Linked DNA regions of Arabidopsis thaliana. The protein of the gene in region 1 purifies or fractionates together with the protein of each later gene. This does not show direct contact. Each region holds a gene or a part of one and is shown in the gene's direction. Other genes may lie near its edges.

The links. The genes of interacting proteins can lie anywhere in the genome.
Region 2: the proteins of MFP2 (region 1) and PKT3 fractionate together in Arabidopsis thaliana (co-fractionation; one large-scale study listed by BioGRID). This does not show direct contact.

The regions. Positions count from the first base shown.
Region 1 is NC_003074.8:2,160,175-2,163,928, forward strand, and holds the start of MFP2 (multifunctional protein 2), read left to right. Parts: upstream 1-1,560; 5' UTR 1,561-1,751; coding exon 1,752-1,854; intron 1,855-2,050; coding exon 2,051-2,122; intron 2,123-2,229; coding exon 2,230-2,295; intron 2,296-2,391; coding exon 2,392-2,448; intron 2,449-2,541; coding exon 2,542-2,609; intron 2,610-2,696; coding exon 2,697-2,778; intron 2,779-2,980; coding exon 2,981-3,036; intron 3,037-3,118; coding exon 3,119-3,421; intron 3,422-3,522; coding exon 3,523-3,609; intron 3,610-3,737; coding exon 3,738-3,754. Other genes in the region: BCE2 (2-oxoacid dehydrogenases acyltransferase family protein), read right to left, coding at 142-291. UniProt on the Arabidopsis thaliana protein: Involved in peroxisomal fatty acid beta-oxidation during seed germination. Possesses enoyl-CoA hydratase activity against long chain substrates (C14-C18) and 3-hydroxyacyl-CoA dehydrogenase activity against chains of variable sizes (C6-C18).
Region 2 is NC_003071.7:14,049,507-14,053,260, reverse strand, and holds the start of PKT3 (peroxisomal 3-ketoacyl-CoA thiolase 3), read left to right. Parts: upstream 1-1,860; 5' UTR 1,861-2,277; coding exon 2,278-2,367; intron 2,368-2,779; coding exon 2,780-2,856; intron 2,857-2,964; coding exon 2,965-3,049; intron 3,050-3,131; coding exon 3,132-3,258; intron 3,259-3,347; coding exon 3,348-3,446; intron 3,447-3,519; coding exon 3,520-3,587; intron 3,588-3,667; coding exon 3,668-3,754. UniProt on the Arabidopsis thaliana protein: Involved in long chain fatty-acid beta-oxidation prior to gluconeogenesis during germination and subsequent seedling growth. Confers sensitivity to 2,4-dichlorophenoxybutiric acid (2,4-DB).

The DNA.
Region 1 (3,754 bases):
TTTATTTTCTTTCTAAATTTATACAGTTTCGATGTTTCTTTTTCCGCCTAGAAGAGCTTCTCGGAAGCTAATGTCATGCCTCAAAATTAATTTGAAAAAAAAAACTGAAAAAGGAAGGAAATTTGGTGAGAAGAAACATACAGTGGGAGGGTGAACAAAGAATGGGCGCGACGCCGGAGAGGAAGACGACTGAGAAAGATACTCCGGTACCCGGAACGGCGGAGAGCAAACAGATGACGAGCTGAATGGGCGGAGAAACCGGTGGCTTCGCCAGATCCGTCGCGCGATCATTGTTATGAACGGTTGGTCTTTGGTAAAAAACAAAAAACAGTACAAGGGAGAAGAAATAGACAAACAGATTGAGTTGATGGAAGATGTTTCTAAGAAGAGAGCTTAAAAAGATAAATGTTACGTACCCGTGTGTTTGTTTCTGTTCGAGTATCCGGATTAAGACTAAGGTACTGATTAGTATTAATAACTATTTGGATTAGTACCAAAAGAAAAAGAGAAAAAAAACTATCGGATTGGCTTATCTATGCCACATCAGCAATATCACGGAGAGGATCAACGGTACACGCGTATCCTCATGTACATCACTTTTTTTTTTTCCTTCAGATGGTGGGCTATATATATCGACTTCAAAAAAAGCCTTTTACAAGCAGATCCACTAAAGCCGAAAAGAAAAATGCCAAAAGGCCAGACTTACAAAGTGGACACACTTTTCTCATAGACAGAATTCATTAAAGCAAGAAAGATAACCTTAACCAACATAAGATTGCACTTGATTATTCTTTGTTACACTTTGAAGTTTGAACAATTAAAAATGAACAAACAAGTTAGAGATGTGAATGTGAGGCTACTTCCAAAATACAATCTATTTCATCACTAAACGCCTAACATTATCTTTGGAAAGTGAGCTACCTACCAACCCAAAATTACATCTAACTTACGTCTTTTGTCTTTTGAGTTTTGCCAACCGTCTTTGATCTTGGAAGATATTCGTTTACGTCCTTTAAGTTTTAAGCAAATCCATCATTGTTAGTGAAGTCTTAAGTTTTAGACGTTTTATTACTGTTATGGTTAACTGTATGAAAGTTGATACTTAGTCATGTGAAAAGATATTTCACCGGACCATAAATAGAGAGAATAAAAAACAAGTTATGGTTTGAATACTTGTCTAAAACTATTGATTGCATTTACATTTGTTTTTTAATCTGATTAAACAAAAAACGGATGTCATGGTAGAATTAACATATATTACAAGATATAATATTCAGCATGATCGATTATATGTCATAAATAAATCGCAAAAAAAAAAAACTAATAATGTTAAAAAAAAAAAGAGATACTCTTTCTAGTAAAGTTTATTTACAACTGTAAAATCCTATATAGGGTCGCTTAGTTACAAATCCGTAGTATCAAGATAAGATCCGCCAAGTTTGGTAGTCGCAGGACTATGACCAGCCAAACATATTTATTAGTAATAAATCCGCAGAGTTTAAATGCAAATATTTTGTTCCTAATTCGTGATTAATTCAACTTATACATAAATTGGATACGAATAACAAATAAAAATTCACATATCGAAAACATTATCAAAGTACCGTTGCTTTGAGGAGTGTGCCACTCTACCATATTATCACTGACGTCATCATCTTTTGCAATTATATAATCATCTGATTTCTCACGTCTCCTCTCTTTTTCATTAATTCCGAAAATTTTGACTCGCAAAATCTCAACGAAGCTCGAAAATGGATTCACGAACCAAGGGGAAGACGGTGATGGAAGTTGGTGGCGATGGCGTTGCCGTCATAACACTCATCAATCCTCCCGTCAATTCTCTATCCTTCGACGGTACGTACTCTCAGATTCATTTTATTTTTATGATCCGGAATTTACTGGATTTTACCTCTTCAGATTTAGGTCAATTTCGCTTCGTGATTTGGTTTTGTAAATATCGCCGATTGTAATTGAGCTTCCGATCGAATTTATGATCTGTTTATGTGAATTTTCTTTGTATGTGACTCTGTTTTTGGATATTTGTGTACAGTGCTATACAATCTCAAAAGTAATTACGAGGAGGCCTTGAGCAGGAATGATGTTAAAGCTATTGTTATTACTGGTATTTCTGGAGATCATTCTCTTCCTCGCTAAAAACACAACATTTTTTATGAAAACTTTGGAGATGATCTGGTAATGGCTTTTGTGTTCCTTTTTATTTAACTACAGGTGCAAAGGGGAGGTTCTCTGGTGGCTTTGATATATCTGGTTTTGGTGAAATGCAGAAGGGGAATGGTATGTTTCTGTCTCTTTTGTATCTTTGGTTATTGAATCAGTGTGGTATGTGTTGATCTAGTTAGTAACGTATACTGGTGTTATGAATTTTCTCAGTCAAAGAGCCAAAGGCTGGTTACATTTCGATTGACATCATAACCGACTTGCTTGAAGGTGATCTTTCTACTTAAACCCACTTTATTTGATTTATGGAATACTTGTGTAAGTTGTGTTGCTGAGGGATTTGATTTCTTTCCTTGGATTTAGCTGCTAGGAAACCGTCTGTCGCTGCCATTGATGGACTTGCCTTGGGAGGAGGATTAGAACTTGCTATGGTATGAGTTTCTATGTTATTTATTACCTTCACGAGAAATCCTTTTGAGGAGGAAGGATGGTGATACAGTTGTATGGTTTGTTTCCAGGCTTGTCATGCTAGGATATCAGCTCCTGCTGCACAGTTAGGCTTGCCTGAGCTGCAACTTGGTGTTATTCCTGGTTTTGGAGGTATCTATTCAACTTCGCTGACTGTGAAGTCCTTGAATTCTCTGATCAATATATGGTTTAAAACTCGTGGAGAAGTCAAGGCATTCTCAATGCATAATACTGAGCTGAGGATGGGAAGAGGATCTTCGTTTCATTTTTTTTGTTGAATGAGTCAAGTCACTTTCGTTTATAATGCTAATTATACTCCTTTGGATTGATGTAGGAACGCAGCGTCTCCCGCGTCTTGTTGGTCTCACCAAAGCCCTTGAAATGATTTTGGTATGTCAGTGCCTTATTCTTATGGTAGCATTAGCGTGCCTTGGTTAAAGTGTAATAGCATCTCTTTTGTTGAAACATATAGACATCTAAGCCAGTTAAAGCTGAGGAAGGTCATTCTTTGGGTCTTATTGATGCTGTGGTGCCACCTGCGGAGTTAGTAACCACTGCTCGTCGCTGGGCCCTTGACATAGTCGGGAGGAGAAAACCATGGGTATCTAGTGTTTCCAAGACTGATAAGTTACCTCCTCTTGGAGAGGCAAGGGAGATACTGACGTTTGCCAAGGCACAGACACTCAAGCGTGCCCCCAATATGAAACACCCTTTAATGTGCCTTGACGCTATTGAAGTAGGTATTGTTTCTGGTCCAAGGGCTGGTTTAGAAAAGGTATGATACCTATCTTTCTTCGCTTCATAGTATGTCAGTTCTTTAACCTTTTCTCCCCGACTAATGATCAATATGAATTTCCACCACATTGTTACTTACAGGAAGCTGAAGTCGCCTCACAAGTGGTAAAACTGGATACCACCAAAGGCTTGATCCACGTCTTCTTTTCTCAGCGAGGAACTGCTAAGGTCTGTGAGTCTTTATGCAGTCATATAATTTGGACTTATGTGCCACTAAACCTCTGGCTTTTTCTTTTTCTTTACAAGGATTTAACTAGTTGCATGAAAGCTTTCCCTCTAATCTATTGTATGGACAGGTTCCTGGAGTTACTGA
Region 2 (3,754 bases), on another chromosome or scaffold:
AAAATACTTAGGAATAATATTATGAAAGGATCCTTTTAAGATGGAATAAGATGATTTTATGTACATATATACTACTAATAAATTATGAAATAAATGTAGGATTCATTCTTTTTCTACTTCTTTTTGCATATCCGCTTGAATCTATATAAATCTGTATAAGTTGGAATGTTTTGACTGTATATTGTGTCACATTACATTATACATTACAGTTCCACGTGGTATTTTTTATGATTTATTAAATTTGTATGTGTTAAATAAATTTATACTTCATTCATATAGATAAGAAATGTATACTTTACAGTTTACATGTGTATTTGTTATTAAAAAAAGATAATATAAAAGAATAAGATATGGGAATGTTTACCCTAAAATCATATATAAGAGATTCAATTATCTTTTTATCTCATTTAATTTTGAGTCAGGAAAAAATATATATACAGAGAAGAAACAAAATTATTAAAAATGTAAAATTTATTGGTTAACATTTTGTCTTTACAAAAAACATAGATATGTTAATATAACGAATATAGTAAATGATAGAATAAAGATATTTAGTATGGTTAAGTAAGAAAATTAACATTTTCAATAATTTCGTCTCTTCTTTGCATAGGATTTGTTTGCCAACTCAAAGTATATTAGATAAAAAGATAAGATTGAAAACTAAAGTTGATAAGATATTATATTGTTTCACAAAAATTAGACATTGGATAGATGTTTAAGATTAAATAATCTTGTTAGAAATAAAACTGAAGTCTATGATGTTGCATGTAAGAGCTAATACAGTAAAATAAAATTATAAATTAATAACATGGGGAATAAAATATTTTATTGATTTATATAAGTGTTAATTTTTAGATGTAGTAAAAATATTGAAAATGACTTTTTCACAAAAATTAAAACAAATTCAAAGAAAAACAAATAACATTTTTATCCAATTACGTTATATATTATATTCGTCCAACTTTGAACCGGAAAAGTTTATTAATTTACAATGATTATTAAATTGACAAGTATTAATATATAGATGTTTCACTCTAATAGGTTAAATGGACAACTATATGCGAAAATATTAGGGCGATATTACAATAATCACAATGTAAAGATAGACAAGCACAATGTAAAGCTGATCACGTACAGTTTTGTTTCTTCCTCTTCAATGTTAATCTCTCCATTCAGTTAGAGTTAATTTCTAGTCTGATACATAACAAAACTACAAAGTTTCTCGAGTTTTTTTGTTATTTGATAACTCTCTACACGATCTAATTTCAATATTACATGTCGGAAAACTTCCGGAAAGTACCACACAAATGTTTGTAAGATTGAGTAAAATTGAGTAAAGAGAGCTTTAATCTCCCATATTTGCAAGTCGATATAAATTTGGTATCACGGCGTGTAAGAGATCTTGACATGCTAACCTTACGCAGATGTGCATTGTTGCAGTGCCATATTGTCATTATTGGTAATATATATGCCTAAGTAAAGTTCATATTGATAAAAATTTTATTCAAACACTATTGCATCTGCTTGTCAATCGCATAATAACATTATTAATTGAAAATGTAGTTTTCACTATTATACAATATCCGTTCTTATTTCGTTTAAACCGGCCGAGCCCATAGTATTGCAAACTATCACACCATATGGGCTTTAACTTTACGTTGGTAAAACGTAAAAAGAAAATAGCGATCAAGTCTCAAGAAGGGTACTTTTAGAATTAATAGCAACTTTAAGGCGTAAATAGAAGTAATACAAATAGTTGGGGTTATTATGTAAATATGAAGAAGATTAAGATCCAGAAGATGGAAATGAAAAACACGGCACGCATTTCAAAGCCCAAAACGGGCGGGGGCAAACGTCACGCCTAATCTTATCTTCTTCTATCACACTCTCAGCTTATCTATGACTATGACTCTCATCATCAATTATTTCACACTATTAACAATCACCAAACCAGTGTGAACATTTTAATTCATAATTAGAGTAAGGTCATTAGGCTAAAAACTGTTTGATTTGGATTTTACAACTATAGGATAAGAACTTGTATCGCTGTCACAGATGATATTTTTTGGTCGTTTAAGCAAAGAAATATTACGAAAAAGAGATATTTTTTATTCTTACTTATTTTGGGATTATCATTTACCCGGAACGGGCAAAGCGGTGAGTCATCTTACCTTATAAATGATCACAAACCCGAGGACTGTGAGTTTTCGTGTAGAACAAATCCTTCTCTGAGAAAAAACAACAGATCCGAATTTTATCTTTAATCAGCCGGAAAAAATGGAGAAAGCGATCGAGAGACAACGCGTTCTTCTTGAGCATCTCCGACCTTCTTCTTCTTCTTCGCACAATTACGAGGCTTCTCTATCTGTAAGCATTCTATCACCACACACTCTCTCTCTCTCGATCTATCGCGATCTTTTGGTTGTCTTCTCTTGTGTTTGCAGTCTGGGGATTATGGATCGTTGTTGATCTGGATTCATTATATGGAATTTTCGATTTTGATTTTGATGCTGAATTATAATTTGATTCGAGGCGTGCCTGTGAGCTGAAAATTTTAAGTTTCAGCTCGATTGAGATCAAATTCAAGACTTGGATTTTGTTTTTGTATTTCGTTCACTGGATTGAGATAGATATCTTTTTTTTTTTTGTTGTTGTTTGATTTTTGTTCGATTGGGTTGAATTATCCGTGCTCTGCATGTACTGATGATTTCTTAAAAGTCAAAGCTTGATTTCAATTACTACGTGTGATCTCTTTAACGTGTTCTTTCCAAATTCCCAGGCTTCTGCTTGCTTGGCTGGGGACAGTGCTGCATATCAGAGGACCTCTCTCTATGGAGATGATGTTGTCATTGTCGCGTAAGTCCCATCTCTTATGCTTTTACTCTTTTGGTATTTGGTTTTTCAGCAACGTATGAAGATTTCTCGTCTCTTTCTGATAGACTTACACTTATTGATCCATTGCAGGGCACATAGGACTCCACTATGCAAGTCCAAACGTGGCAATTTCAAGGATACATATCCCGATGATTTGCTCGCACCTGTTTTGAGGGTCTGTCGCTATCTTTTCTATTCTGTTGTTGGTTTTTATTTCCTTTCTACGTCTATTTATAGATAGTTCTTCCTTGACATAGGCATTGATAGAGAAGACGAATCTAAACCCAAGTGAAGTAGGTGACATTGTTGTGGGTACTGTTTTGGCACCTGGATCTCAGAGAGCCAGTGAATGCAGGATGGCTGCGTTCTATGCTGGTTTCCCTGGTATGTTTCTTCTATGTACAGTACAATACAATGGTGAAAAGTCTTTGTTTTTATTTCCTGTATGCTCATCCTGTTATGTTCATTTGCAGAAACCGTGGCTGTCAGAACTGTGAATAGACAGTGCTCATCTGGGCTTCAGGCTGTTGCTGATGTAGCCGCTGCCATTAAAGCGGGATTTTATGACATTGGTTAGTGAATAACCGTCTTTAACTACGCCACATTTTTTCATAGAGAACCGAGCTGACGATATGATGGATGCAGGTATCGGGGCTGGTTTGGAGTCCATGACTACCAATCCAATGGCATGGGAAGGGTCAGTCAACCCAGCGGTACTGATTCTCTCTTATCTGGAGTCTTACTTGGCTCTGTTATTTTAATACGTACTATAATACGGACTATGTTATTTCAGGTGAAGAAGTTTGCACAAGCGCAGAATTGTCTTCTTCCTATGGGTGTTACGTCAGAAAATGTAGCACAACGCTTTGGTGTCTCAAGG